4 linked regions of the Elephas maximus indicus genome follow. The protein of the gene in region 1 purifies or fractionates together with the protein of each later gene. This does not show direct contact. Links are inferred from orthologs where the notes say so. Each region holds a gene or a part of one and is shown on either strand. Other genes may lie near its edges. The genes, in order: ZRANB1, MAP4K4, CTTNBP2 and STRN3.

The links.
Region 2: the proteins of ZRANB1 (region 1) and MAP4K4 purify together in Homo sapiens (affinity purification with mass spectrometry; 3 studies listed by BioGRID and IntAct, with this or other methods). This does not show direct contact. The link is inferred for Elephas maximus indicus from reciprocal best matches to the Homo sapiens genes ZRANB1 and MAP4K4.
Region 3: the proteins of ZRANB1 (region 1) and CTTNBP2 purify together in Homo sapiens (affinity purification with mass spectrometry; 3 studies listed by BioGRID and IntAct, with this or other methods). This does not show direct contact. The link is inferred for Elephas maximus indicus from reciprocal best matches to the Homo sapiens genes ZRANB1 and CTTNBP2.
Region 4: the proteins of ZRANB1 (region 1) and STRN3 purify together in Homo sapiens (affinity purification with mass spectrometry; 4 studies listed by BioGRID and IntAct, with this or other methods). This does not show direct contact. The link is inferred for Elephas maximus indicus from reciprocal best matches to the Homo sapiens genes ZRANB1 and STRN3.

The regions. Positions count from the first base shown.
Region 1 is NC_064834.1:74,981,801-74,988,700, forward strand, and holds the start of ZRANB1 (ubiquitin thioesterase ZRANB1), read left to right. Parts: upstream 1-3,889; 5' UTR 3,890-3,973; intron 3,974-6,900. UniProt on the Homo sapiens protein: Ubiquitin thioesterase, which specifically hydrolyzes 'Lys-29'-linked and 'Lys-33'-linked diubiquitin. Also cleaves 'Lys-63'-linked chains, but with 40-fold less efficiency compared to 'Lys-29'-linked ones.
Region 2 is NC_064835.1:84,134,908-84,142,789, reverse strand, and holds the start of MAP4K4 (mitogen-activated protein kinase kinase kinase kinase 4), read left to right. Parts: upstream 1-4,878; 5' UTR 4,879-5,037; coding exon 5,038-5,094; intron 5,095-5,426; coding exon 5,427-5,492; intron 5,493-7,882.
Region 3 is NC_064826.1:31,757,629-31,764,840, forward strand, and holds the start of CTTNBP2 (cortactin-binding protein 2), read left to right. Parts: upstream 1-4,199; 5' UTR 4,200-4,287; coding exon 4,288-4,395; intron 4,396-7,212. UniProt on the Homo sapiens protein: Regulates the dendritic spine distribution of CTTN/cortactin in hippocampal neurons, and thus controls dendritic spinogenesis and dendritic spine maintenance.
Region 4 is NC_064828.1:43,486,219-43,493,778, reverse strand, and holds the start of STRN3 (striatin-3), read left to right. Parts: upstream 1-4,545; 5' UTR 4,546-4,799; coding exon 4,800-5,081; intron 5,082-5,199; exon of another isoform or gene 5,200-5,507; intron 5,508-7,560. UniProt on the Homo sapiens protein: Calmodulin-binding scaffolding protein which is the center of the striatin-interacting phosphatase and kinase (STRIPAK) complexes.

The sequences.
Region 1 (6,900 bases):
TCTTTTGTACTACTCTTTTTTTCTCCTTGGATAGTTCTTCTTTTCCTTTCCTACTCCTGGCTTAAGTGGTAACTTGTGCATAGCTAACTCCCTGATGTTTATCTCCAGCTTTAGCCATCACATTTCAGGCCAGCATTTCCCCTGCCTGCTGCACATTTCCCTCTGAGTGATGGGCCAGGATCTCCACATACCTGATCCAGTAGACAGCATCTCCTATCTAGTTCCTCTTTCTCTTCATGTTTCCCACTGTTAATGGCACCGTTCACATTCAGAGGTCTCTGACTTTTGATTCTTTCTTCTGGCCCCAATTCAGGTACTGGCAAGCCTTGAACATCCACACTCTTTCACCTCTGTCCCTTCCTTCCCATCCCCACAGCTACTTTGGCTTAGGTCCTTGTCTCCTAATTGGTTTCTCTATTTCCCTATTCTGTTTTTACCCTCTTTTGTCCCACAGACATTCCAGATTAAGATATAGCTCTAATATTGGTGTTTCCATTTCTATTAATGGAATTAAGTACAGATCCACAATTTTGCATTGAAGTATTCGCAGTCAGTCAGAAAATGTAAAGTATAATGGTATCTTCTAAAGGTAGTTTGGGAAACAGCTGAAATAAAAGACAGAACTAAATGTCAACAAAATTATACTGTCCCTACACTTCGGTAGAGGTTCTCAGAAAAAGACTTAAAAACTGGATATGTTTTTCCAAATGAATTTTTTTTATAACTCATTGAGAAAGGTGGTTCAATCTCTATGAGAAACAGCAGGATCAGTTCCTTAACTATGACAATGCTATCTGCTGTTGTGTTAGATATGAAGCGCTGCTCTAACAGAAATAGCACAAGTGGATGGCTTTAACAAACAGAAGTTTATTTCCTCAGTTTAGGCGGCTAGAAGTCAGAATTCAGGGCACTAACTCCCAGGGAAGGCTTTCTCTCTCTGTCAGTTCTGGGGATAGGTCCTTGTCATCGATCTTCCCCTGGTGTAGGAGCTTCTCAGCACAGGGACCCTGGGTCCAAATGAGACGAGACGCACTCTACTCTCAGCGCTTCTTGGTTGGTGGTAATGTGGTCCCTCTCCTCTCTGCTTGATTCTTTTATATCTCAAAAGAGGTTGACTCAAGATACAACCTAATCTTGTAGATTAAGTCTTGCCTCGTTAACATAACTGCCTCTAATCCTGCCTCATTAATATCGTAGAGGTTAGGATTTACAACACATGGGATAACCACATCAGATCACAAAATGGTGGACCATCACACAACACTGGGAATCATGGCCTAGCCAAGTTGACCTACATTTTTGGGGGACACAATTCAATCCACAAATGCTGTATTTGTTCACATCTTTTTAACAGATATGGTGTTATGGGAAGAACATTTGATTGGGGAATCAAGAACTCTGGGTTCTAATTCCATACGTAGTTGGTCTGGCTTTTGACAACTCTCTTAATTTAGGCACTACTTTGCACATCTGCAATACATGGAGGGTGGTGGGCGAGTAGGACAACATAAGTAGTTCTCAATTCTGGCTGTACATTGTAGCCACATGGTACGTAAAACATACCCATGTCCAGTCCCTCCTCTTAGAGACGGTTTCAATAGGTCTGGTGTTGGGCCCCAACATTCGTATTTTTAAGAAACTCCTCAAGGTATTCTGATGTGTAGCCAAGGCTGAGAACCACTGGACTGATATTAAGAGTCTTTTCAGCTTGAACAATTCATAAAATACCACCTTCTTTATTAGAGCCATTTTTTGTATTTGCTCTTCCTCTCAGTTACATGATAATTTTCATTTGAATTTACATGGTGCTTTGCACATTCTGCCTTATATAATGATAACTATGGTTGTTTTTGTCTTCTTTCCTATGTCTGTTTCCTCAAACACAGAACGTGTCTTACTCATCTTTGTGGGCTTCCTGTTCCTTGGCACATGGTAGGTACTTATTATGCTAGGTAAACTACAATTCAAACTAAACAAGAACAAACACCTAATTTGGTGACGTGTCTACTTATTAACTTGGAGGTAGATGCTCTTTATCCTTGATTCAAGAAGCGGGAACTGGAGGTACTCAGAGGCCCTCAATGGAGATATTTTCAAGTGAAATATTGGTTGAAGCATTGTGATGAAATATTGGTTGAACCATTCTTCTTGCATAATGACTTAGTGATTTTATATCTAATTGTTAGTTACATATTCAAGAATGTGGGTTAAGTTTTACAACAGACGAGATTGTTGTAGTTCAAACTCAATGTATTGAAGAGCCATTAAGCAAAGTATTTTGCTGTTATGTACTTCAGATTTGACCACGATGAAGAGGATTATGGAAAATCTGTCACAGGAATGGCTGTGAAGATAAAATATACCAATGGTTATGAAATGTTGGTGAGAGGAAGCTATAAAGGGTTCTTAATTGCCATAGTGAAGCTGTACATACATCCTTTAACATATCTATGCAAAGAGAAACTCAGAACACCAGGGATAATTTTACTCGATAAATCCCCATCTAATTTTTAAAAATCTGAGTAAATGCTGAATAACACTGTCTCCTAGTGAAGCTGAGGTGTCCAAATGTGACTGCTAAATGCCCTTTGAAAGTGCTATAGCTTTTCTTCATCAGATAACTTGAAAGAGATTTACAACTCTTAAAGAGTTCCTGTGTTTTATGGGCTTCCGAATTCTTCATAGAAATAAAATTTGAAGTATGAGAAATGAAAGGTGACACCTCAATGGGAAAAACTAAGCTCTCTGGCTAGAAAAAAATTGACTCATGGAATTTTAACAGATAGCTGACTCATTTAGACTATTTTTACGGTAAAAAAGAAATATACAAAATATATCGCCATATAATATATTCTATTTAGAATCTGGGCTTTGGGGACTCTCAGGGCAGTATTTTTTCCATGGCTGTCATTTATCCTCGGCCTTAAGGAATATCTCCAATTTACAGAAAAGGCAGCCATGAGAAAGTTGTATTTACCCAACATTAGGACCAGCATATGGCGGAGGAGAGCGAGAACCCAGGGTCTCCATAGCTTTTCCTCATATATTTATGTATATATGTAATATAGGTGTATATGGAGATAAATACATATACACAAAATATGTACAAATTAGATATATAAAAATTACACTATCACAAACAACCAAAACGTTTGTCTTCTGTGGTGTCTTATCGAGAAACTGCATATGAAGAGGTTAAGCAGAACAGAAAGTTCCTCAGGAGACGTGAGACTTGGGCGGTAAAAGTTTGGTGAATTTGTTTGCAGAAGAGAAGGGGAAGAGTTCGAAGAAAGACAAGTGCGCCTCGAGACGCCCGCCCCACAAGGTGCTGTGAGGCGCCGTCGGTCTCCGTTTGCCTCCGCGGGGCGTCCTCCACCTCGGCCAGCGCGCGCTACCCTCATCTCCGCGGTTGCCGCCCAGGGGCCGCGATGTGGGGGCGCGCGCCGCAGCCTCACAATCCGGGCCCGGCGCCGGCGTGATGTCACGCCTCTGCGGCCCTCCTTCTGCGTCCGGAAAGAGGCGGCCTCCCATTGGCTGCGTCGCCGGCGGCCTCGGGCCAATGGCAGGGCGGCAAGCGGCGGGGTCGGCCCTGACGTCTGCCGCTCGCCGCGGGGTTTATTTGGCTCCGGGTCCCCTCTGTCGCCGCCATTAAGAGCCCGCAGCGCCCGTGGCCGCCCCCCCCTCTCTCCCCCCTCCCCCCGGCGCCCCCCCGCCTGCGCGCCTCCTCTCCGCCCCTCTCCCCCCGCCTCCGGCAGCCCGGAGCCGCGCGCCGCCCGCGGAGACCATGTCCTGACTGAGGGGAGAGGGCGGAGGCGGCAGCAGCGGGGCGGGCGGCGGCACGGAGGGAGGCGGAGAGGGGCCGGGCTCCGCTCGTCGCCGCGGGCGGCTCGGGGAGTCGCCGCCGCCACCGGGCGCCGAGCGTCGGACAGGGAGGAGGAGCAGGAGCTGGAGGAGGAGCCGCCGCCGCCACCAGGTAACCGGGCCCAGGAGGGGCGCCCCGCCGCAGGCCCCCGCGGCCTGACCGGCCTCCCGCTCCCAGGTGGGCCCAGGCCGCGGGGTCTCTCGGCCGCCCGCCCGCCCGCCCGCCCGGCGCCCCCCGGGGCGGCGGCGTTGCAGGCGACGGCGGGGAGCGGGGGCCTGCCGCGCAAACCCCGTCGGGCCCGGGTCTGCCGCCGGCCGGGCTTCCATCTTTTGGGCTTTCCCGGGGCGAGGAGAGGTCGGGGGCTCCGGGAGGGCGGGCCCGCTTGTTTACCAACGATCGATCAGCCGCAGCTGGACGCGTTGCCGGCCCTGCCACCGTCTTCCGCCGGATTTTCCCCCAACTTCTCTTCCTGCCTGATCCGAGTCTGTGATGGGGTTTCGCTCCCGCTCTGCAATAGGCCATAAATACTTGGGTTCATCGCCACAAGTTGGTGCTGGCCTCCAAACTTGGATTTCAGTCTCTTGGCCGCTTCCTCTCTGTCTCCTGCGGTGGCCCCAGTTGTTGCCATTTCTGTCTAAGAAATCAAGGTCGGGGGGCAAAGGTTGGGGGAGAGGAGAAAGAGCTGGAACTGTGGACAGATGATCTGCCCGCCTCGCTCTCGGTAACTCTCGTTCGGTGCAAGTAGCTGTTGTTTTCTGTGGGGCTTGCGTGGGTCATTTCATAGACAAAAGGACTGTAATGAATACTTGCACTAAGTACAAGGGACTGGCAGTTTAGGTTAAACCTGGAAGTTGGAACTGGCCCACTATCTTTGAGGTTCACTGATGTTTTCTTAACTCTTGCTGAGAATTTTGAGTTTCAGTCTCACTCCCTTTGTCCATAAGTCTGCAGACTTTCAGGTTAAAGGCTGCTCTCCCCAGTATTTTGGTCTGTTTGTTCACCGTATGATCCACGGTATTGTCATTATAAATCTGATGTACAAAAATGTTGTTTTAGAGCCACAGCTGAAGAGACACCTTTAACTTCCGGAAATACTCCGTAAGGAGTGCTTCTGGTACTTGTAGGTCTCCCTTTTTTAGACGGTGTCCTAATCACTCGTGCAACCTCGAGGTACCTCTGTTTTGATCAAACATAGATGACTCAGTGAGTAACCCATAAGCCAGGGAAAACCATAAGGAATTTTGATCTTGGCTTGCGCCAAGGGCTGAGAGCACGTCATCTAAGATGTGTTTGTGAAAAATAAAACTGGATCTCTCTTCTTGGTTGTTATTTTTAATTAAATTAGGTAGTTCTGAACACATTTAGAACTCTGCTCCCCTGTTGATTTTTGGGTCTTATGACAAGGTGTGCAGTTTCCTTCTTACTATAAAAGTGCATCACGTTGTTTTTATTGGGCTATTAGGAGGGGGCTAAAACTAGTAAGACGGTAATGACACATTTTCATCTTTTGGGAAGGCTGTCATTTGAATGTCATGAAAGATTTTTATTTCTGTTGCTCATGTTTGAGCACCTTTTATTACAGCCTTAGAGTATTGGGACACCCGTTTATTTACTCTTGAAATGAACTCGGGTTAGTATGAAGAACTCATTCATGATATAATATGTGTTAAGCTCACGGCCTTGATCCAGACCTGTACACTGATGGGGTTCTGGCACAGCCCGTTTAAAGTCTGAGGGTTAACAGAGCTTTGGAACTCAGGGTCCAGTGGTACAACGTTTGAGGTAAGTTGCTTCATGTGCGTAATTGATAGAGTGAGAGCTTCTCCAGGTGCTTTATACTTATACTACTTTTATAATAAATGTAAATAAACAAGAGTTGTAGACCACCATAATTTTTTATTTAACTTCTTGGGTCACTTTTACTATTTAAGCATTGCTGCTCACACCCACCCCCACCCCAATAATATCCTTTTGTACCTGGCCTAGAACACTTTTTTCCATTGATGTGATGTTTTATTAGGAATATTTGTGCTCCACTTATTCTTCGCATAAAATAGTGTCTTGCACATTTTAATATTGTCCCCTCCTCACATCACGGTATAAAGACTTCCAGAAAACTCCTTATTACATGGAAAATAAAGCTCAGTTTCCCCGGCATGGTCAAGATCCTCCAGAATCTAGCCCTGATCAGTGCTTCAGTCTTAATGCCATTTCTCCCCTTGGTGGATCCTTGGTTTGTTTTTCCTGTGAAGTCTCTCCCCTCAGCTTTTCTTTATGCTGTTCTGTCTGTTTGGAATCGTCTTCCTCTTGTATTCATGGATACTCTCTGTACTCTGAGCCCAGGTAGGGCCTGTCTCTTGAGGAGCCTTTTTAACTACTTCAACCCCAAGGGATCTACTGTTCCCTCCTCTGTTGTGCAGGATGGTTTTCTTCCTTCTTGTCCTAGCACTGCTAGCCTGGATTTCAGTTGCTTTTATTGTTTTTATTCTGCTTCCCAATTGGACTTTTAAGACTTGAGAAATGGGTTTGAGCCCTGTGCCTTGTGTGTATGGGGAGCATATATTCAGCTCTGACAATTTGGACTCGTGCTCTGACAGTGACCGGTGATGGTTATAGTGGTATTCTAGGATATAGACTTTGTACTCCTCCAAGTATTGGAGTTTCTGGGACTGTGACAATTTCTGAGACAAAAATATTTGAAATTATGGCTGTCTTTGAAAAAACAAAATACTTGATTAGCATGTTTATGCCTATTGCCAACATGGTTCCCAGCCTGTAGAGGATGGTCAGCATTTTGATAATGATCTCATCTTATTTAAATAAAAATAAGTACCGTAATTCTGTGGTTTACTTCGGATTTGAGTCTGGGGCAGTTACTTGGGTTCATTTGAGATCGGCACCAGTGACAGCAAGGGGGACCATTTCCTACTTGTATATAGGTAACGTTTAGCATCACATGAAGGAGAAATCACCTGTAGCTTCAGTTTGGATCCTTAACTTCGGATGTTGGCAGCATGTGTCATTGATCATAAGGCAGA
Region 2 (7,882 bases), on another chromosome or scaffold:
TGTGTGGTTGTCCTCCATTTCGTGCTTGTAATTTTACGTTAAAGAAGATTAGGGTTGGATTGTAACACCCTTACTAAGGTCACATCCCTAAAGGGAGTTTCCCTGAAGTGTGGCCTGCACCATCTTTTATCTTACAAGAGATAAAAGGAAAGGGAAGCAAGCAGAGAGTGGGGACCTCATACTACCAAGAAAGCTGTGCCGGGAGCAGAGCGTGTCCTTTGGATCCAGGGTTCCCGCAAGGAGAAGCTCCTAGTCCAGGAGAAGATTGATGACAAGGACCTTCCTCCAGAGCCGACAGAGAAAGCCTTCCCCTGGAGCTGATATCCTGAATTTGGACTTTTAGCCTACTAGACTGTGAGGGAATAAATTTCTCTTTGTTGAAGCTATCCACTTGTGGTATTTCTGTTACTGAAGCACTAGATGACTAAGACAGTGACCTCATATAGAACAGAACAAAACATCGCCCGGTCCTGCACCATACTTACAATCGCTGGTATGTTTGAGGCCACTGCTGTGACTTTTGTGTCTGCCCATCGGATGGAAGGTTTCCCTCTTTCCCTGGCCCTCTACTTTACCAAGCACGAAGTCTTTTCCTAGTGATCTGTCTTTCCTGATGATGTGTCCAAAGTAGGCAAGAAGAAGTTGGAGTCGATTCAATGGCAACTGGTTTTATTTTGGGAAATATTTACTACCCAACTCTGACCCTGGGAGCTCAAGGCTTAATTTATTATTTACACATTAGAGTCTCACCGCCTTAGTCATCTAGTGCTGCTATAACAGAAATACCACAAGTGGATGGCTTTAATAAAGAGAAGTTTATTTCCTCACAGTAAAGTAGGCTACAAATCCAAATTCAAGGCGTCAGCTCCAGGGGAAGGCTTTCTCTCTCTGCCGGCTCTGGAAGAAGGTCCTTGTCCTCGATCTTCCCCTGGTCGAGAAGCTTCTCAGGAGCAGGGACCCCAGGACCAAAGGACGTGCTCTGCTCCTAGTGCTGCTTCCTTGGTGGTATGAGGTCCCCAACTCTCTGCTTGCTTCCCTTTCCTTTCATTTCTTGAGAGAGAAAAGGTGGTACAGGCCACATCCCAGGGAAACTCCCTTTACATTGGATCAAGGATGTGGCCTAAGTAAGGGCAGTGTTACAATCCCACCCTAACCCTCTCAACATAAACCTACAGTCACAAAATGGAGAACAACCACACAATACTGGGAATCATGGCCTAACAAAGTTGATACACACCTTTTTTTGGGGTGACATCATTCAATCCATGACACTCACATAAATAGATTCAATCTGAAAATAAAGCCCGTTGCTGTCGAGTTAATTCCGACTCATAGGGACCCTACAGGACAGAATAGAACTGTCCCCATAGGATTTTCAATGAGTGGCTGGTGGATTCGAACTGCCGACCTTTTGGTTAGCAGCCTATCTCTTAGCCACTGCACCACCAAGGCACCATGTCTTCAAATAGACCCTTGAGGGTAAGGCCATGAATCAAGCCAACTTCCTGGAAGCATGTATTGAACATGGCTGTTGACTGAAAACATGGCTCCTACTTTTAGAGAACTGAGTGGCGTTGGGAGCTGGGCAGATAAAAATTAACTAGCTTTAAAACGGGTCCAAAACCAAACCTGACATTCCTTTGCCACCGCCATGTGGCAATTCTCTTTCCTCTGTACTAATAGCCTCCTCCCAAGTGTGAACAAGGCTTGAAACCACACACAAAAAATCTTTTACCTCCTGTCTACACTGTCTTCTGACTATCCTGTCAGATGCCAAAGTTTAGAGAGTCTTGTATTTCCTGTCACCAGGCTTTATTACCTGGGCCTGGGAGCCTGCAATGGCCCCTAACTGGCCTTTTTACCTCCAGTCTTCATCCAGTATATAGAAGAGGAAACAGAGGGTCAGAAATTAAGCAACATGTCCAAGAACTAGGGTTGAAACCCATTTTGGTTTTGCCCCAAATCCAGCATACTTCTCATTAGACCTGTTTAGTGTCCTTTCCATGTTGCCAGAATTTACAATGTTCTTTTATGACAGCTCTTTATGAAACTGTCTTATGCCAATTTTCAGACTGTAAGATCTTTGCGGGTAGGCTATCTTAATCTTCCTTATATACCGGGCCATGGCTAAGCCAGTTCCTTCCACTTAGTAGGTGCTTCAAGAATAGGTACTGAACTGAAAGTGGGAAATAATGCACAATGGTGATATACAAAGCTGCAGTTTCTGAGTTGGGCTTGAGGTGACGGAGGGTATTTGGATAGGCAGGGAGGAAGGGGTTGGTCTATGGTGAGCCTCAATGAAATGTGGCTATAAACCTGTGGCGGGAGGATGGCCTGGGAGGGCCTCGTGTTATTGTCTAGGGTCCAACTCTGCACATAGAGCAAGTTTGTCTTCAGACCTTGATTTCCTAATGGGCAAATCAGGAAAACCAACAGTACCTACCACTTGGAGTTACTGTGAAGAACAATGGGATAATACATGTAAAGGATTTAGCATATCCAATACATGCTATCTGTCATCAATAATAAAGCCAAAAAAACCAAACCTGTTGCCGTCCATTCTGACTCATGGCGACCCCACGTGTTGCAGAGCAGAACTGCACTCCATAGGGTTTTCAAGTCTGTGACCTTCTGGAAGCAGATCACCAAGCCTTTCTTTGGCGTCACTTCTAGGTGAGTTTGAAGAGCCACTTGGTAGGTGCCATGGAGTTGGTTTGCAGAGAGACCCCATGTGACGGAGTAGAACTGTGCCGTGAGGTCTTTTAGGCTATAGTTCTTACCAGAGCAAATCACCAGGTCTTTCTCCTGAGGGGCTGCTGGGCGGGTTTGAACTGCCAACCTTTTAGATAGCAGTTGAATTCTTAACCATTGCGTCACCAGGGTTCCTTATTAAATTGGGTACTGTATGTAAATCAGTAAACATTATCAGGGGCACAGCAAGCGCCTAAGAACTGGTAGATACTAGATAATCATGGTGCTGTTTGTGAAGCCCTGTTATGAAGGGCCTCAGATATTCATCCTGTGAGGCAGCTATTCGCAAAGTGTGATCACTGTGACAGCAAAACAACCGTCATTCCAGAACCTGTTCAAAAACAGCAACACAACACAACAACAACAACAAACCGCTGTGGTCTAGTCAATTCGGACTCACAGCCACCCTACAGGACAGAGCAGAACTGCCCCATAGGGTTTCCAAGGAGCAATGGGTGGGTTCCAACTGCAGACCTTTTGGCAAGCCACTGAAGGCTTAGCCGCTGCGTCACCAGGGCTCCTGAGAACCTGTTACAAAGGTAAATTCCTGGGGCTCTCCTCAGACCTATGTGGCAGTTCTACTCTGTCCTAGAGGGTCGCTACGAGTCGGAATGGACCAGACAGCAATGGCTTACCTCAGACCTACAGAATCCAAGTTGAGGTACCGCCCTGCAATCCATGCTTTTACACCCCCCACCCCGGCTGGTGCTGACGCCCTCTCAAGTTTGACAACACCTGCTGTAAGTTAACAGGGAACAACTGAAAAATTCTGGACAGTGGAGGGAGGCAATGAAGATGGCCCTTGAACACATACACCCAAACAGGCCTTTCTTCCACGCAGGCACTGGGTGGGTTCCAGCCCCCAACCTTTAGGTTAGCAGCCAATCCCAAGCCACTTACTCCACCCAGAGAGAGATCTTATATTCTCGGTTGATGAAACTCCGTAACTACTGACTAGTATCCAGGTTGCAAGAGGAAGCCCATTTGTTGATCGTAGTGATGTGTAGGCTCAAAACATGGCTTAGTATTTATGGCCCCAAACACAGTGCTCACCCACGGGGCGAAGTAAGGGGCGCGGCACCAGGCCATTACAAGAGCTGTTGTGGATTCGGCTACTGAGTCTCTTGGGGCCGGGCAGCCAAGTGATGCTCGCCTAATCCCGCAGCTACAACCCTGTCACACACTTATCCTGGAACAGAAAATAAAGGAAGAGAAAACCATGTAGGGAAACCGGAAATGAGGGTCTCAAAGGTATCCTAAGTGGTGCTGGAGGCAGCAGGGAAGAAAAGCGGGTGAGGAGAAAGAGAGGACCCTCTTCCGCTTGGATACATCCCCTCTCGCGTCCCCTTCGATCCGGGGCGCGGCCGGCCCAGCAGGGCGGGACACACCCTCTCCCTGAGAGACGGCGGGTTCGTCTGCCTCTCGGCGTCTGGGTCCGAGTTTGTTTCTTTGATTTATTGTTTGTGCGAGGTAGGGGCGTTTCCTTACTCTTAGCACCTTCCTGGGGACAGCACGGCCCCTTTCATCCCTGCGCTCCCGACCCCCCGGCTCTGGCCGTTTTGGAGGGCACCGAGGGGGTCGGGCTCGGAGGCCCCACCCGGGCGCCGGCTACCGGGTCTGGGCCGGCGGCCCGGCCATTGTTCCGGCCCCACCCCTGCTGAATATTCACGCGCCGGGCGGCGGGCGGCGCGCCCCGCGCCTCCGCCAGCAGGTCTCAGGGTGCGAGTGCGCTTCCGCCCGTTTTTCCTGCCGGGGAAGGAGAGGGGGAGCTGTTTGCGCTCCGCTCCGAATATATTTTCGGTGTCCCGTTTCCCCTCCTCCCGCGCGGCCGCCGCCGCCTCCTCCCTCCCTCCCTCCCCCCCTCCCCGCCCCCGCCCCGCCCCCGCCCCCGCCCCCCGGCTTATCTTTGTCTCGGCCTCGCGCTGCCTGCTCCACTCTCGGCGCCGCCGCGGCCCACGTTCCGTACGGCGGCGGCCTGGATGCGCGCGGCGCGCGGCGCGGGCTGCGGGGCCTGAGCGCGGCGACGCCCGGGCCGCTGGCGCGCCATGGTGTGAGCGCCGCCGCCGCCCCGCGCACGCTCCGTCCGCTCCTCGGCGCGCGGCCCGGGGCCGGCGAGAGCCGCGAGCGGGGCCGAGCCCGCGCCGCCGCCCGCCTGCCCGCCCCCGGCCGGCGAAGAGGCGTCCCGGCCGCCCGCTCCCCGTGCGAGCAGGCGCCGTGGCGCCCCGGCCTCGGCCGACGGCACGCAGACACAGATAGCTGTTCTATTTGGGAGGCAAAAAAGGGAAAATGGCGAACGACTCCCCTGCAAAAAGTCTGGTGGACATCGACCTCTCCTCGCTGCGGGTGAGTGGCCGCGGCGGGGCGGCGGGGCGGCGGGGCGGCGGGGCGGGGGCCGCGCCCCGGGCCGGCCGGGCGCTCGGGCGCCGCCGCGGGCAGAGCCGCGGGCGCGGCGGCTCCTTTGTCTGCCTGTGTCGGCATGTGCGGGGACGCGGGGCGCCGCCAATGCGCCCGGTGCCGCCCGCGCCCGCTGCCGGAGGCGCGGCCCTGGGCGCGGGGACCGGGGCGCGGGGCGAGGGGACCGGCGCGGGCGCAGCCGCCCTCTCCGCAGCGGGCCAGCGTCCTTTATTCCTTTTTGTTTCTTTTCAATTGTAACCCCTCCCCTCCTTCCTCTCCAGGATCCCGCTGGGATTTTTGAGCTGGTGGAAGTGGTCGGAAATGGCACCTATGGACAAGTCTATAAGGTCGGTGTGGGGCGCCTTCTTTGTTTCCCGTGGCGTGCTGAAACTTCGCGTTGGGAGACGAGGAAAAGGGCGATAAACACGCTCTGACTGGAGGCCACGCCACTTGGCCGAAGTTCGGAAAGGGCTTTCGCTTGGCAGCGTCTCTGTTTTTAAGCAGTTTATATTCAGATTGTATTCTGTCACAGGAGGTCGCTATGAGTCGAAAATGGACTCGCCGGCACCCAACAACCGCCCCAGCCACATCCCGATTAGCCTTAAAAGACCTCGTTTCCTGGCTTTGACAGAAAGAAATAAACTACACCCTTAGGCAAGCACTTTTGTGAGAAAGTGGAAAAACGTTTTTCATAAAGCGACCTTAAGTTTTTTTTTTCTTCCCAAACCCGGCCTTCTGAATGTGTTTGTTAATTAAAACTCACAAAAGGCCGGCCTTGCTCATGATTCTTAAATCAGTGCCTTGGCCTTCTCGAGAATGGTCATCATGTTTCCTCGTTTGAGCGCTGGCCAGGTGCTCAAGGTGGGGAGTTTGGTGCTAACTGGGACGCCTTTGTAACTCTCGTCTGTGGTCCACGCTACTGATGGATACGTATTTTGGGGAAGGGAGGGGTGTGCGTTTGGGCAACAGGAGCAGGAAGAATTACAGTGTGAAGATTATAAAATCGGAATTCCAGGAATAACCTGTTTGACAGGTGTGCAATGGGAAGAGGGAGAGCAAGGGGTAAGGAGGATGCCTGGTTTCACACCCATTCCAGGTTTTTCTCTTTTTTGCCGCCCCCCCCCCCCCCCCCCCCGCCGCCGGTAAATGCAGTGAACAAATCTGGAGACTGTATAAATCTGCGATGAGTAGCTGACACCTGTGTGACTAACAGTGTTCTCATTTTATCCAGTGTGCATACTAAAGGTTATGAAGAGCTGCAGGTAATGGATGGGCAAGGCCTTGGAAATAGAAAAAAAACAATAGATTCTTCCTGCCCTGTTTTGTTTCTTAAGATGTTCTAAAAGTCATCTGTATTGGAGTAGTTTTCTAGCTGTTGGAGTGGGTGCAGAGTAGGGTTAGAAAATGCCTTAGGAAGCAAGGGTTTCTGTTTTCACCATGGAGAGTTGTCATTGTCTCATTCACAAAGCGGAGAGGCGCTGGGATACTTGGAGGCTGCCCATAGATGTTTTCTTAGGCCAGGTTAAGTGTGGATCCTATTGTGTCTTACTGCTTTATTGAGAGAGTTTGCCTGTCCTTTGAACGCCCCTCCCCTACCCCAGCTTAGCCTGGCCTGGGCAGTGTACAGGCCTGGGGTCTGAACTTGAGGCAGTATTTCTAGGTGATCGCAAGTGAAATTAGCATGTGTTTTGTTGGTTAACTGTTGGGGCCGGGGCCAGATTTTTGAATTTGAAAGGGAGCCCTGTTAACTCAGGCTGCTGGGCTCAACTGAATTTGGAAGTGTTTGGAAAATTTTGGATGAGATTGTGTTGCAACTCGCTGAGTGGCTTGGTAACTGGCTTTTAAAGACATTCTCCGGAGCCCCAGTGTTTGTGTAAGCAGCAGCCAGTTTTTTCTAACCCAGTTTTTCTGGCCAAATCTAAGTGGTGAGTGCGCTCCTCCGAGTGAGGTGGCCAGAGCTTGTTTTTGACCTGGTTATATAGTGGTGGGATTGTTTGTGTCTTACTCGGTCAGTGTCTGTGCTGAGTGCAGCAGAGTAAGCTGAAGGCGTTAGTCAGCTTTTAAATTATAAGGAAAAAAGAAATGAATCCAAGTGTTAACTGGTTGTAAGAGGTGGAAGCCCTGTCTGGTAACAGTTTGGACAAGGACATTGTTTTCTCCCCTCCTTATTTCCCCTTTGCACACCCCCCCCCCCAACCATGCAAAAGCTTTTGAAGTAGAAATGCCTACCATGACATTGGGAAGTGTTGGGATATCCATAATGACACAGCCTGCTTTCTGACTACGAAGTCTGTACAGTGGAGGAGAAATTTTTCTGAATATGCAAGCGTAAGGAATTAAGAAATCTGTGCAATAGTGGCATACAATCCAGAACAAAATATCGCTTAGGATTTTGGTCACAAGCAGTTACATTTTTTATTATTACGATGGAAATTTTCAGACATACTCAAGTGGAATAAAGCACCCAACTTAACAGTTGTCAGCGCGTAACTAACGTAGTTGCATCTGTATTCCTCTTTCTGCCGTTACCTTACGGAAATCCCAGCTAGCTTGTCATTTCATCCATAAATTCTTCAGTATGTCTCTCTCTCTCTCTTTTTTTTTTTTTAACCTACTCACAAAGCCATTATCCCACCTAAAAAATTAATTCCTTAATGTCAGATATCCAGTGTTCACATTGTCCTGATTATCTCATGAATGTTTTCTTAATTGTCACTACTGAAAAACCAAACCCACT
Region 3 (7,212 bases), on another chromosome or scaffold:
CTGTTTATTTAGCTGTTTAACGAAGCTTCAAAAGATTTAATTCCTGGAGCCATCAAATCAGTACCCTTGCAGATCTGTTTGGTTCGACTCTAATAGAGCCTGTCTTTGTGCAAAGAATGTCTTTCACAAAGAGTTAATTTGCAATCTCAACAGAGATTAATTCTCAGGAGGGAATTTAAACTTGGAGTGTCCCAGGGGAGAAGCAGCTTCAAGGTTGGGCTATTCTGTGAGGGAGTTAACTCCTTATGCGCTGCTTCTGAGCAATGAGGCCAGCTGCTCAGTCAACACCCGGCAACAGTGGCAGCTTTAAGGTAGAAACAAATACTGTTTATTCTCCTTCCCAGGTCCTGGATTTTGGCAGTAGGAAAATATGCTATTCTGTGATTTTTTTTCACCTGTTTATTTTTCATTTCACACACACACACACAAAAGGCGGTGGGGTGGGGGAGAGGGGAAAGAATTCACTCAGGGATCTACTTGATTATGACTTGATTGTATTTTGATTGTATTTAGACTTACATTGTTAGGTGCCATCGAGTGGATTTGCCCCACAGAGTTTTCTAGGCTGTAATCTTTAAGGTAGAAGATGGCCAGGGCTTTCCACCTGCAGAGCGCAGAACGGCTGGCTAGTGGGTTGGAACCAAAGACCTTTTTGTTAGCCACCAAGCACTTAACCATTGCACCACCAGAGCTCCTTATTTTGACTAATAAACAAAAAACCAAACCTGTTGTTAGACTCATAGCGACCCTATAGGACAGAGTAGAACTGCCCCAAAGCGTTTCCAAGGAGCAGCTGGTGGATTCAAACTGCAGATCTTTTGGTTAGCAGCTAAGCTCTTAACTACTGGGTCACTGCAGAAGCTATTTATTCACAACATTTTTTTTTTTTTTAAATTGATCTGCATGTATAAAATAAACGGGATTTGCTTCACAGAGAAATTATCATGTCATATTCCTAGTGCTTAAACCTAAGTGAAATTTGTTATTTTATTCCCCAGTGGTGAGCCAGTTAATTTCTTAATTTAATGCCAATATTAAGGAAATTTATTGCCTTGTGATGTGTGAAAATGCATTTTGAAAAGAACAAGGAATACTTTTGTTCCAACTTTAAATTTTACTATCAACATCTAGCTTTTTTTTTTTTTTAACTTATAGGTTTATTTTTCTTACATAACAAGAATTCTAGAACTAAGCGACTTCTGGAGTCCCTTTAGCTGTTCCATGATGCCACAGGCTATATCTGTTTGGCTCCACCATCTTTAACATTGCCTTTTTTTAATCTCCATGTCTGTTGCCTCTGGTTGCAAGTTGGTTACTGCGCATTTAGGCATCACATCCACATTTTAGGCAGGAAGAATGGGAAAGGTGAAGGGTAAAGCCAGCTGCCTCTCCTTTTTATCATATGCAATGATTTTCAACACCAGATTTATCGTATCTTCAATTTACAAATATTCTTGGTTTCATTTCTTGACCATTTATTTAGTTCATCTGAAGCAAATATTAGTTTTAATTATTGTAGCTTTATAATGTATTTTGATGTCTATTTAAAGCAATTCTTTTGTCCTTTTTTGAGTATTTTTAGAATTTTTGAATTGTACTTTAGATGAAGGTTTACAGAGCAGATTCTCATTAAACAATTAATACACATATTGTTTTGTGACATTGGTTGCCAACCCCGTGACATGTCAACACTCTCCCCTTCTCAACTTTGGGTTCCCCATTATCAAGTCTCCTGTCTCCTCCTGCCTTCTCATCCTCGCTCCCGGGTTGGTGTGCCCATTTAGTCTCATTTTATGTGCCTGTCTATCTAAACTTTGGCTGAAGGGTGAGCCTCATGAGTGACTTCATAACTGAGCTATAAGGGTTTCAGGGGGCCATACTTTAGGGGCTTCTCCAGTCTCTGTCAAACCAGTAAGTCTGTTCTTTTTTGTGTGTGTGTGAGTTAGAATTTAGTTCTATGTTTTTCTCCAGTTCTATCAGAGACTATTGTGATCACTGTCAGAGCAGTTGGTGGTGGTAGCTGGGCAACATCTGCTTGTGCTAAACTCAGTCTGGTGGAGGCTATGGTAGTTGTCGTCCATTAGTTCTTCGGACTAATCTTTTCCCTTGTGTCTTTGGTTTTCTTCATTCTCCCTTGCTCCAACAGGAGCATGCTTTTAAGACTCCAGATGCTACTCACCAAAGTAGAACGTAGAACATTTCCTTTGTAAACTATGTTATGCCAATTGAGCTAGATGTTCCCCAAGACCATGGTCCCCACAGCCCTCAGCCCAGCAATTCAGTCCCTCAGGAAGTTTGGATGTGCCCATGGAGCTTCCATGACCTTGCCTCATACAAGCTGTGTTGTGTACTGTCTTACCCTTCTCCAAAGTTAACTACTTATCTATTGTCTATTTGGTGTTTTTCCATCCCCCACTCCTCCCCTCCCCCATAACCATCAAAGATTGTTTCTTTTTGTGTGTAAACCTTATGATTTTTTAGAGTAATGGTCTCAGACAATATTTGTCCTTTTGTAATTGACTTATTTCACTCAGCATAAATGCCCTCCGGATTCACCCATGTTGTGAGATCAGGGTCCAACTTTTATTGTCAAATGCTTTGCTTTCATCTTGTAAGTAGCTTGATTATTCTAATATTGAGTAATTTCAGAGAGAATAGTTGATAAAAGAAAACAGTGTAATGAACGGGAATGGACACTAAAGAACTAAGAAAGGGGGTAGCTGTGAGAGTAAAGTCAAAGAAAATAAATCAACCAGCACCTCTGCTTACAGGATAACTCAGAGGTGACTTCCAGGCCTCTGACCCTTAACCCCAGGATTCCAGGTGAAAGTTCTCTCTTGATGTAGCTGTCTTCTGGGAGAGAACTTTCCACAGTTAACCCATAGACTGATTTTTAAATTAAAGGGAAGCTAGGTAGAAGAATGGTATTTGTCATTATAATTGTTGCTTATCTAATGATTTAAATCAACCCCATTCAGGGTCTTCAAAGGAAAGATTTTCTCTGTCCTGATTTGTGTCTTATTTGGATCCAGTTTTGAAAATGGAGCAATTAAAGTGCCAAAACCTTTCATTAGGAGTCTGCCATTTAAAAAAATGAGCTTTTATCTGTAGCCCTTGAATTGAACATTCCATGTCATTCGTCTTCCTGAATTTCAAGTTTAGGATTTGGTTTTCGCTTCATTTTACGTCCTTGAGACACAGTTTGAATGCTGCGACTTGATTTTGTGCTTTCAAGACAGTTTTAGGGATCTGGTGATTTGAGAAGGGCTGGTACCATATGGTCTTGAGAAGGTGATAGATTTTCACATCCTGGGAACTGGCAGAAAAGGGTAGGAACTGAATCAGATGAAAGGAAGGGAAAATAGAGTTTGAGCCTAAGTCACTCATCTCATGAAAAACCTGAGACCTATAATTCCCATGAAGTCAATTTTTAAAAGGATTTTTTTAGTACGTGTACTTGCGTATTCTTACTTGCGTATTCTCTCTGAAAGTAGAGAGCTTCCTTTTAAAAGAGATGACATTTAACACTTCTTGGTTAGTCCTTTAGAAAAGACTTCAGTCATGGAGTCAAAGAACAGCAATGGGCCCCGCGCCACCCTCCCTGAAAAGGAGATTTTACAGAAAGATGAGAACTGAGGGACTGGGGCACAATGTAATAAAAGCGGACACATTATTCATTTTGATTTGTGAATTTAGTTAATGGTTTTCGTAGAAGGAAGGGGTAAAAGCACCCTGGCAGCAGTGTTGAAAAACCAAAAAACCTGGAATTTAAGAAAAAAGAAAAGAGTATCTTATGTCCTTCCTAGCGGTGGGATAGATGGGCATGGAGCGAAGGGTTTCCTTGATCTTACAGAAAATTAAGATTTAGGAAGCCCGACATTTCATCCGGTCTCTCCAGGGTCGGCTTCGTGGGGCTTGGCCGGTCGTATCACATCTTGAGCTCTTTCTCTCCTTCATCTCGCCCGGTGTCTTTCGGATTCCCCCATCTGCGGGAAGGACCAGCCCCGGGCCCGGGCTTGTGCCCTCTTCTCGGACCTCGACGCACCGGATGGCCCAGGGGCTGGGCGAGGCGGCGGGCGGCGCGGCCCCCCGGGGGCGGGCGCCCGGGCGCGCGGGCCCCGGCGCGCAGCGGGTTAAGGCGGCGGGGGCGGCGGGAGGGAGGCGGAGCGCGGCCGGGCCCGAACGCCGCGCCGCCGGCCAGCAGCGGGTTAAGTGCCGCCCGCGCGGAGAGGGCTGAGCCGGGCGCCGCCGCTTCGAGCTCGCATTCGGATCCGCTAGCGCAGGAAGATGGCGACGGACGGCGCGAGCTGCGAACCCGACTTCTCCCGCGCCTCGGAGGACGCGGCGGAGGCTACGGCGGAGGCTACGGCGGAGGCAGCGGTAACCGAGTTCCCGGTGCGGGCGCGCTGCGAGTGTAGACGCGGGCCCAGGCGCAGCTCCAAGTCCCCTGGGCGCTCCGCAGTCCGGGCCCCCTGGGGGCGCCCCCTCCTCAAGCTGCCCCACGGCCGGAGGCCGCCCAAGCTGGGGACGCCTCCTGCCCGTTCCGAGTCTCCAGGGAAATAGCACCGGCCTCCGGGTTCTTGGCGCTCCATGCGTGCGCCCCGCCCTCCTCGCGACCCCGACGCCGGTGCCGCGGTGGTCGGGTTTGGCCTGGGGGTGTTTGCTGGCGAACTTGACCCCCCATTGTTCGCCTCTAGCTGCACGCGTGGCTGTGAGCGTGCGTCTCGGGGTGCCTGGCACGTCTCAGCAGACCTAGGAAACAGCGAGGGGGGGTGCGGGTCGCCGCCGAGCAGGTGTGGGGATGCCTATTGTGTGTCTGTGCGCCTTTGGGGGGCCCCTGGGGAGGGACCGGTGCCCAGCTGTGGGCGCTGTCGCCGCGAAGCGCCGGCGACTTTGGTCTTAGCAGCCCCCTCACTGGGGAGGCGGGGGGTCATCGCGTTCTTCCGAGGCGATGCCCGGGCGAGGTGGAGGGTCATCACCGAGTATCATAGACATTGTTCTCCTTCGCTGGGTTCTAGACGCCAAATGCGCTACCATCCATCCCTGGTCCCCACTTTCAATCCCTAAATATTCCTGTGCACAGAAACTCGCTGGTGGGTTCCAGCCCCTACCTGGGGGAGGGTTGGTTCCCCGTCCAGGGTGGAAAATGTGCTCAGGGTTTGAGAAGCGGCTTCGCTGGAGCTGCGAGGATCTGCAAAGAAAGGCGGTCCCGGGAGCGCCTCCCACCCTTGGCCCACTCCCGCTGGAGACCGCGGTGGGATAGAGTGAGCCGAGGGTGGACGCCCCCTCCGGCCTTGCCACTACCCGATCGGAGTCGGTGCGCGAGCAGCAGAGGGCAGGGCCAGGCGTAAACAGCCAGGGCTGCTTTAACTTCCTCCTCCTCCCTGGGTTTGGAGGTAGGGCTTTTGGAGAGGGAGAGATGGGGAGGAAGGTACTTGGGGGTGAGAGGAGCTGAGCTTGGGAAGGAATAGAGAAAGAGGGGGTGGAGGGGGGAGAAAAACGGAGGAGGAGGGCTGTTGATTTGCACTTGTGAAACTGGCAAGTTTTGATTTGCAGCTTTTAGGAAAATTTATTTTGTTTTTTCATTTCTTGCGTGGAAAATGAGAACTTAAGATTTCAAGTGAAACCTGCCCACTTGTGATACTGTGAATCCCCCCGCCCCCCGCGAGGTACAATAAGGAAGCTAGCTGTTAAGGCAAGCCTCTCTGGGAAGTTTAAATGATTGGGTGTCTTCCTCCCCAGGAGATGATGACGAGAGGCACTGACTGGGAGGAGAAAGAAAGAGGTCTTGTGTGTGTTTCTTGTTCCCCAGGAAGGTTACATTTGTATGTTTAATTTGTTTAGAATGGGCCTTTTTTCTACTGCCCTCAGTGTTTTAATCACCTCCTTACAATTAAACCAAACACAAACATCTGGTTTATGGTCTGTAGCTGATGATGTAGTTTTATTTGGTTAGACTGTAGAGAGTCTTGGTCGTGGGGCAGATTTCGTGTTAACAAGGTCAGGGTTCCGTCTCTGCTGTGTAAAATTTTCAGAAGTCTGATTCTCACTACTGAACTTCGGGGATTTGATCATTCACCTGTGATAATGGGAACAGCCATGGAAAATAGGAAAGCCGACCTCTTGTTATTTCCACAGAATCCTTTAGGGTCCCAAGATGCAATAAGGATTCTTAATATAGTAGCTTTTTTAAACTTTTGGCTGTTTAGTAAAATTTTGACAGTGACTTCTTAGGCTGTAAACTGACCATTTTATTTTTTCCAAAAAGCTTTGACTTCGTAAGGTAGGATCCTGTCCTATCAGCCACTTTGACCTATAGGCTGATTTTTACATTAAAGAAAAGCTGGGTAGAGGCATGGTATTTGTTATTATAACTGCTCCTTACCTAATGATTAAAAATCAAAGGCATTTTTATGCATCTTGGGGTTTTGGCAACTGATGGCTTAAAACAATTTTTGGGTATTTTTAGTGAACAATTCTTTTTTTTGGTATTTTAGCGATTTGATTCATTTCAAATCTGCTTGTATATTCATTTTTATATATACATTTGGCAATAACGAGCCAATGGAACCTCCAAAGCAGTAGGCTATTTTTGAAAGTGAGTGTTTTCACTAAGTTTTGACTATTTAGATTGTTGCTTAGAAACAAGTTTAATTTATAGTTTCATAGTTTTCAGTTTAATATGATTTTTAGTGACATGTTTTAAATTTAGTTTGTGGTCCTCGTTCTTAGCTGTTTAAATCCTGAAGGCATCCCAAGTGTAAAGCTACATTATTCAGTAGGCTCATATAAATAGTCTTTGCTATGAACCATGCTGGGAGACCTGGGTTATTTTCAGTGCCTTAGCCAAATGTGATGACTTTTATAGGCCATATTGCTATTTCTACTCTGAAAATAAGCCCTAATGGATAAGGCAGTATGGAAAACAGAAATCTTCCTGCTTTTTATTGTCATCAGGGAATTTTGGAGTGAAAGGAAAATGGAGGTCTTTTTAGAGCTGTGTTTGGGAAGCCAACCAACATTCTTGCCATTCTGGGTTTTCTGGGGCAGTTAATATGCAAAAAGTAGGAATAAATTTTGTCACGGTGATTGTGACAAGGAAAAACTTGGACAGTGATTTTTGTTAAAAATATGCAACAGCGATGTTAAAATAACAGCTGGCACTTTGAAATTTTTGTTTTCCAGGTGACAGTATTAAATGTAAATGCAGTA
Region 4 (7,560 bases), on another chromosome or scaffold:
AAATGCTTTGGTGTCTGTGTTTCTATAATCTGTGAAGGTCCTTTTGTTTTCTACATAATATATTATTTGAATGGCTCAAGTTCCCTGCATGTATTTCTACAATTTTCTTAGCCATAGGCAATCACTTTAATGAGAACTGGATATTTGATCGTATCTGGCACATTAACAAACCATGGTGCAAGTCCAAGCTGCCTCCTCCTTTTCTGTTCCATCTGCATTATACACTTGACTCTCTTGCCAACTCTTCTCAAAGATCTTCCTCTGGGTTCTACTATTTGTTTGCTCTTTGACTATGTTCACAAACACTACAACAGCCTGAAACTACCTAAAAATGATTCCAAATGTGCAAATGATTTGGGAATATGAGACAGTAATAATGAGCCCATTGATGGGACAGTAGGAGGCAGAATAGTGAAGGGAGAGTGTCTTTATTTCCAAATACACATACATACTCACTGATCTAAGAATGGGAACAGTTTCCTATTCTATTAAGGGTTTGCTGAAGTGACTGAGAACTCTTATCTCAGCTTTTCCTTCACCCCAAGGAGATAAGAATACTTATCATAACCCTTGCAGATTATGCAAAAAGATGAATAGATTAATGTTTATAAACCAGTTTAAAGTCTTTGGTAGAAGGATGCCAGCAAGGTACAAAAACTGGGTATACAGGTGAGTACTTACAGGGAGCTATACAGTTTCCAGAAGCAGGCTCAAAACTCTTTACATCAGGTACTGGAATAATTGGTAAGAAAGCGTCTGAGTGTTAACTACTTATTTAAAAGCCTGGAATTCCTTAACATACCTTTGCTAATATATGTATATGAAATATGACAAATCTGTTTTTTAGTCAAAAATAGAATAAGCAGACAGGTGTCTAAGGAAAAAAAACCCTTTAAAGTCTAAACTGATGAAAGCTATGGCAGGCATTCTTGAAGATCATTAGCTGTAGGCTGAAACTGGGAGAGTCTAATGGGAATAGAAGAGGGATGAATAAGGACTGATGAAAGGACAGAACAAACAAGTTTCAATGGTGAGGCTGAAAAGAGGAAATGACTCAGACACAGTTTAGGGAGGGAGTTCCAGTTAGGTGAGTTGTAGGTGACAATGTGACCCGGGAGTGCTCACTGCCAAAAGAACAAGATTGTAGGAGCTCACAGCAGAGTGTTCCAGCTATCTCTATAAAATTTTCTCCAGAGGAGAAAACCTTGGTGTCCTTTGCTTTTAAATACTCAGGAAAGTTCCAGTCACTGAACAATAAGATATAGCTGATGTAACTGTAGCAAAAGCTAATAAAAATGAACAAGGTGAAGGGAAAATGTTCATATTAGTCTAGTCTAAATTTAGTTTATCCATCAAACATTTCTTGAGGATGTACACTGTACCAGGCACTGGGAGCTGTGAACAAGGGACGCATGGGCACTGCCCTTGAGAATTCTGCAATCTTGCCGATCAATGGCTGAGGACCCTACCGTCTGGGAACCACATGGCCAGGGATTGTATTGTTGACATTTATAAAACCATGGTTAAAGTTTGTCTTTTTGGTTCACAGTGGATCACCAGGAACTAAGAGAGTATCTGAAAAATGTAGCCAATCAAATAGCTTTTTCATAGTGAAGCAAAGATTTATTGAGCACCCACTACGTGCTAGGTCGTGCTTTCAAAGAGTTTGGCATGAGTGCCACTGACAAGTACATTGATGATTTAAATAAAAAAACAGTTGCCTTGAGTGGAGAACTGAGCTCCATAGGGTTTTCAGGTGATTTTTCAGGTGATCACCAGGTCTTTCTTCTGAGGTGCCTCTGAGTGGACTCAAACCACCAACCCTTCAGTTAGCAGCTGAGCACCTTAATGGTAACCATTTACACCACCCAGGGACTCTGATAATTTACATAAAGTGTAATAAATATTAAGATAAGAGGTAACCATGGGATGCTATTAGGATCCCAAAACATCAATGCCATCAACTAGACTGTAATTCACGGATCTGCAAGGTGTCTTGGAGGAAGTACCGCTTGAGCTGAGTTTTAAAGGAAGAAGGGAAAGAAAGGCAATAAGGCACATCATGTGTTAAATCACTGTGGAATGAAGCAGCATTATACCTTTGAGGAACCAAAAACTGTAAAAGTTGGCTGGAGAGAAGAGTGAGATAGAGTAGGTTGATGAAATGATGGTAGATTGGAATCTAGGGAGGATTTAGAATCTGAAGAACCTCTATACGCTAAACTAAAATTTATCCTAAAAGCTTTGGTGGTCACTAAAATATTTTAAGTAGGGGAATGACAGGATTATATTTACCTTCTAGGAAGATCACTCAGCAGCAGTAGCGGTTGGTGGAGCAACTGTGGAAGTTGGAAGATTTAAATTAAGGTGTGAATGGAGACAATGGAATAGAACGAAAGGTATTGCTGAGAAAGGGATTAGATGTGGGGGCTGAATGAAAGAAAGGCAAAGGAACGGCTTTTAGGCTTCAGACTTGGATGCAGAGCCACATATGAAGCTAAGAAATAGAAGAGGAGCAGAGACTTTGGTTTTGTTTTTGAGGGTGGGGAGAAGAAAAGAGGAATTATAGGTTCAGTCTTTGAGCTTGAGGTTGTTGTTAGCTATTGAGTTGGCCCCCAACTCATGGAAAATCTATGCACCCTCGTGATATACAGTTTTCATTGGCTGATTTTCTGGAAGTAGATCACCAGGCCTTTTTTCCTAGTCTGCCTTAGTCTGGAAGCTCCACTGAAACCTGTTCAGTACCATAGCAACACAAATGCCTCCACTGACAAGATGGGTGGTGGCTGCACTTGAGGTGTATTGGCCAAGCATCGAACTCAGCATAGAAGGTAAAAATTCTACCACTGCTGAGTTTGAGGTGCTTTTCTTTTTTTATAGGAAATATAAGTGTGTATGCTCCTTTTCTTTGACGCTAACATCTTGGAAGTCAACCACACCCTCTCACAAAAGTTTCTTAGTGTGTATAGGTCTTGAAGCAGCATAGTATTTCTTAACTTTTTATGTGCTATGAGGCACCCCCCCCCCCCCAAATAATAGGATTGAATAAGCAAGTTTATGCTGGTCGCTATAAAATGGAGAAATAGTACTTTAATAATACAGGGAAATAGTTTTTAACAGTGCTGTGATCTAAGACCTCATTTCATATATAAAAATAACATGGCAGCCTGGTGAACAAGTCCAATCAACTCTCCATTAAACTGTAAGAACAGTAAAGCAGTCATGCTAAAATAAACTGTACTACTTTATCTCTTGGAAATTAAATCCTGAGTGAAGTGTATATACTCCATAGTGAAAATTTTATTGCCTTGTAGAGAGGAAAAAGTCTAAAAAATGCAACCAATTTCAGATGAAGATTTCCCGCATAGCTGTAGTTATGGAACGCCTTTTCCTTATTACAGTTGTTAAATGTTAACTTTCTTCTATTTTGCAACCAAATGGTTATTAGCTACATGTTTTTAAAAACTCACTAGTTCATGTTCCTTGGGAAACTAAGTGCATAAAAATACACACTACGGTGGTAAAAAACAAATCTTGCCTTTTATGTGTATATTCTCTCAAATATTTAGTGGCCTTGGGAAAACATTTTCCCCTTTCATCTAGGATTTTAAGTTGTATTCATGATGCCTTTATTTTCTATTCGGATTGAAATATTCTGTCATTAATAGCAATATTTATAAGAAGGAACTTATTTACTTCAAAAACGTCAAATTGTTAAAAGACTAACCAGTCTCCTTCAAAGTTATCTTCTTCCTTCCACCCACCATCAAGATCTAAAGGATTTCAGTGCCTCCCCTTAAGAAAAATAAAAACAAAAATAATCTTTCCACCCCCCTCCCAAGCCCCCAAAACACAACTCCCTACGAAAGAACAGGGAAGGCAAAGTGGAACAAACTGCGACGAGCGACCGGGCGCACAAAAGTGGGACAATAAAAGCTCGGGCTCGAGGCGAAGACGGGGAGTCCAGTCACTACGTCCGTAACGACCTAGGCTCTTTGCGAAAAGAATGCGTCCCCAAAGCTCGGGGAACTGACCGCTGCTAAGAAACCATAGAAACAGCGAGTGACAAGTAGAGAAAAAGGCCCGATCCTCTGGGACTGCCAGAAACACGCAAGGAATGCAAAAGAAACGTCAGGAATCCGGGACGGGCTGCGGTCGGCCGGCCACCGCGACCGGCCCGGTTAAAGCAGAGATCCGAAGCAGACCACGCGGCCCAGACCCTTGGGTGGGGAACGACACTGGAAGGCTGCCCGCTCCAGGGAAACTGATAACCTCAAGCACCCGGGCCGACCGGCTCTCAAACACCGAAGTCCTCGCCTCGGCGTCGGGACCCGGACATCCGGAGAGGGGCTGGGGGCGGGCCTAGAGGCGGGTCCCGAGCCCCTTCCCCGCCCCCTAACTGCGAAGCTCAATGAGCTCCCAGAGCGCCTGCGTAGGGTGAGGCCGGACTCTATTTGGCTATTTGGAGTGAGGCGGCAGCGGCGTACTCTACCCGGCATGCAACGCGGGAGCGACGGCCCTACGTCTACCCTCTTCCCAGCCCTGCCCTCTCTTCCCCCTCCCGCCACGGCCCCCCCTCCCCTAATGTGAGTGACTGAGACTGGCAGATGGAGGTGGGACTGTAATGGCGGCGGCCGGCAGCTCCTTGCTCTGACCCACGGCAAGCACACTGCAACGACCCCCTCCCCGCCCCTCTCCTGGCCGGCCTCCGCCCCGTCACCAGCGCGGGGCTACCCTCCCCGGCCCTTCCCCCAGCTGTCGGCGTTTCGCCCTGCGCCCCGGCCGGGGCCCCACACACAATGGACGAGCTCGCTGGAGGCGGTGGTGGCGGCCCGGGGATGGCGGCACTTCCCCGGCAGCAGCAGGGACCTGGGGGGAACATGAACCTTTCGCCGGGGGGGAATGGAGCGGCGGGCGGCGGGGGTCCTCCGACCGCCGAGGGAGCGGGCCCCGCGGCAGGCCCTGAGCTGTCCCGGCCGCAGCAGTACACTATTCCGGGGATACTGCACTACATCCAGCACGAGTGGGCTCGGTTCGAGATGGAGCGGGCGCACTGGGAGGTGGAGCGGGCCGAACTGCAGGTACCTCGTTGGGGACAGTGTGCGGGGCAGCTGCGGCGGCGGGGATCTCGGCCCGGGGGTGGGGCCGGGACTCCTCTCAGCCGGAGCCTGCGGCCTCGGGAAGCCGAGAGGAACCTACCTGTGCGGCTCGGGGGCGACGGTTCTGGCGACAGCTCCTCCTGAGTCCCCCTCCCTCTTTCCCGCAGAAGCTTGCTCCCCAGCCCTCAGTGGCTGCGCGGTGCGGGCTTCCTCGGGGCAGCCATTTTGGCTTTTAGTATGGCGTCTGCGGGGGCCCCTCCGGAGGCGGCCTTCCCGGGCCTCCGGGGCTTGGAGCCCAGATACTCTTAAGAGTTCGGCGTGGGGCTGCTGGGCACTGTGTTGCTCTCACTTGTCTCTCTTGAGGTGGAGAACCCGAGGAAGGGGACTGAGAAGGGCATTTTACCACCTTTTTCAGGACACCCCCTTCCGATTTGGCTTGTCTGACCCCCTCCCCCGACTTGGTACGCACTTGACCCTTGACAGCCACGCTTTTTTTCTGGGCTGCTACCGTACACAATGGCTTGAGGCTTACCTGTGAAGTTTTAATTTCATACCTGTCAACTGTAAGTGCCTTATTACCTGGGACGTTGCATGACTGAGTTGGATCTTTTGTAGTTCTTCCTTACTTAGTGACTCATCAACGCTTACTATTCTCAAAACTGAATTTTTCTTTTTAGAGTGCCCTTAACCAGACACCTCCCCTTTACCCATAAAAAAAAGCCACACCAAACTATCTGTGCTGTATTTATGAAAGGCCGAGAAAAGATTTAGTATTAGCTTGAAGTAAAAAGTACTTATATTACTAACTCACCTCAGGGAAGCACAGTTAAATGTCCTCAGAACCCATTACCCTCATAATTGAGCCAGACTCATTCCTCTTAAGGTGAGCCTTTGGATGCACTAGGGTGTGTTAACCTAACTTTTGGAAAGGGTTGGTAGCTTCAGGGCTCGTGTCTTGGATTTAAAAATTACTCCATCTTTTTGAAAGGATTGTTCAACTTTTTGGGATATTTGTGTTTGTTTTTAAATTCCTTTTCAGGCAAAAGTAGGCTTAGAAGAAAAAAGTTTCCACCTAAATAGTGCTGCACCTGTTCTTCAAACTGGTATATATTTAGGATGTAAGCAGTGTTGTTTACTGACATATATGCCATATATGCCCACGATGAAGAGTTAGGAAAACATGGTGTTGAAAGATGGAAGATTGGAATAACTTTTAAAGAGTGTCTCAGATATGAATCTCTTCAGTTTGATTTTGAACTTGTAAACTTTTTATTTGACTCCTCAAAGTGGATAAAGTTAATTTTTTTTAAAAAAGTAAGAATAGTAATATGTTTTGACACTTTTTTATCATATCTTGAACAAATTCATTACAGACTAACACCTGTTAGTTCAGTGTTTTAGAATTGTGTTTTGATAAACTATCGGGCTTTTAACTTTCAAAGAGCTTAAGTCAGAATTATTTATTGTTTCTTTTAACTTGAGTAAACCCTGGTGGTGTAGTGGTTAAGTGCTTTGGCTGCTAACCAAAATGTTGGCAGTTCGAATCCACCCAGTGCTCCTTGGAAACTCTATGGGGGTAGTTCTTTTCTGTCCTATAGGGTCGCTATGAGTTGGAATTGACTTGACGGCAATGGTTTTCTTTATAGTCTCCTTTAAAATACTTGTGATTTATAGAGCGCTCTTAGTATGAAAATTTCTACTACACCATGCTTTAAACAAATTTAGTTTTCTCTGTGGATAGAGTGAGGTTTATAAACCATTTTTAAAAATTTATAAGTTGTACTTACAAACGCATTGAGGCATCTGGTCACTGAATAACACTTGACCGGTCCCTGATGCAGTGTTTGTAACTTTTGCGTTGTTGTATGCACGTTTGGATTTTAACAATTTCCAAGTTCGCAATTGTATTAGTCACTCATAATCTTTGTTAATGTAAGTAGCTGGGAAAATATCTTACTTGTATGTCTAAATTAATAAAATAGTGAATCCTTTACTATCTGCTGTAGCCCTTCCACTTCTTTCCTTAACAGCAAAAACAAAAATCCTTTAAGGGAGATTTCTGTTGCTTGAATTCTTCCTGGATTTCTTTCAGTTAACCTACTATTAGTACTTTAGTTCTGATATAGCCATCTTAAGTTTTGTTTATTTGTTTTGAAGAAGTTTTACAGTATTTACAGACTGTAAATTTTTTTCAAGGGTTTTTATTATTTCACAGATTCATTTGGAATAAAATGTTCATGATTGTGTTTATCTGTTCTTGTGCTATATATTTCCCTAAAATGTTTTGCTGGATTACTTAACAGGGTTTCAGGTGTGTTTCTAGTATATTGAATTTGCTTTAGATGCCTTAAGATTGTTTGTGAGATCCATATTTAAAAATACATATGTTGGATGAAAAGTTTATGAGAGGGTTTAAGTGAAGCATCAGTGGATTTTAATTGTAAACAAACCCATTTTCAAG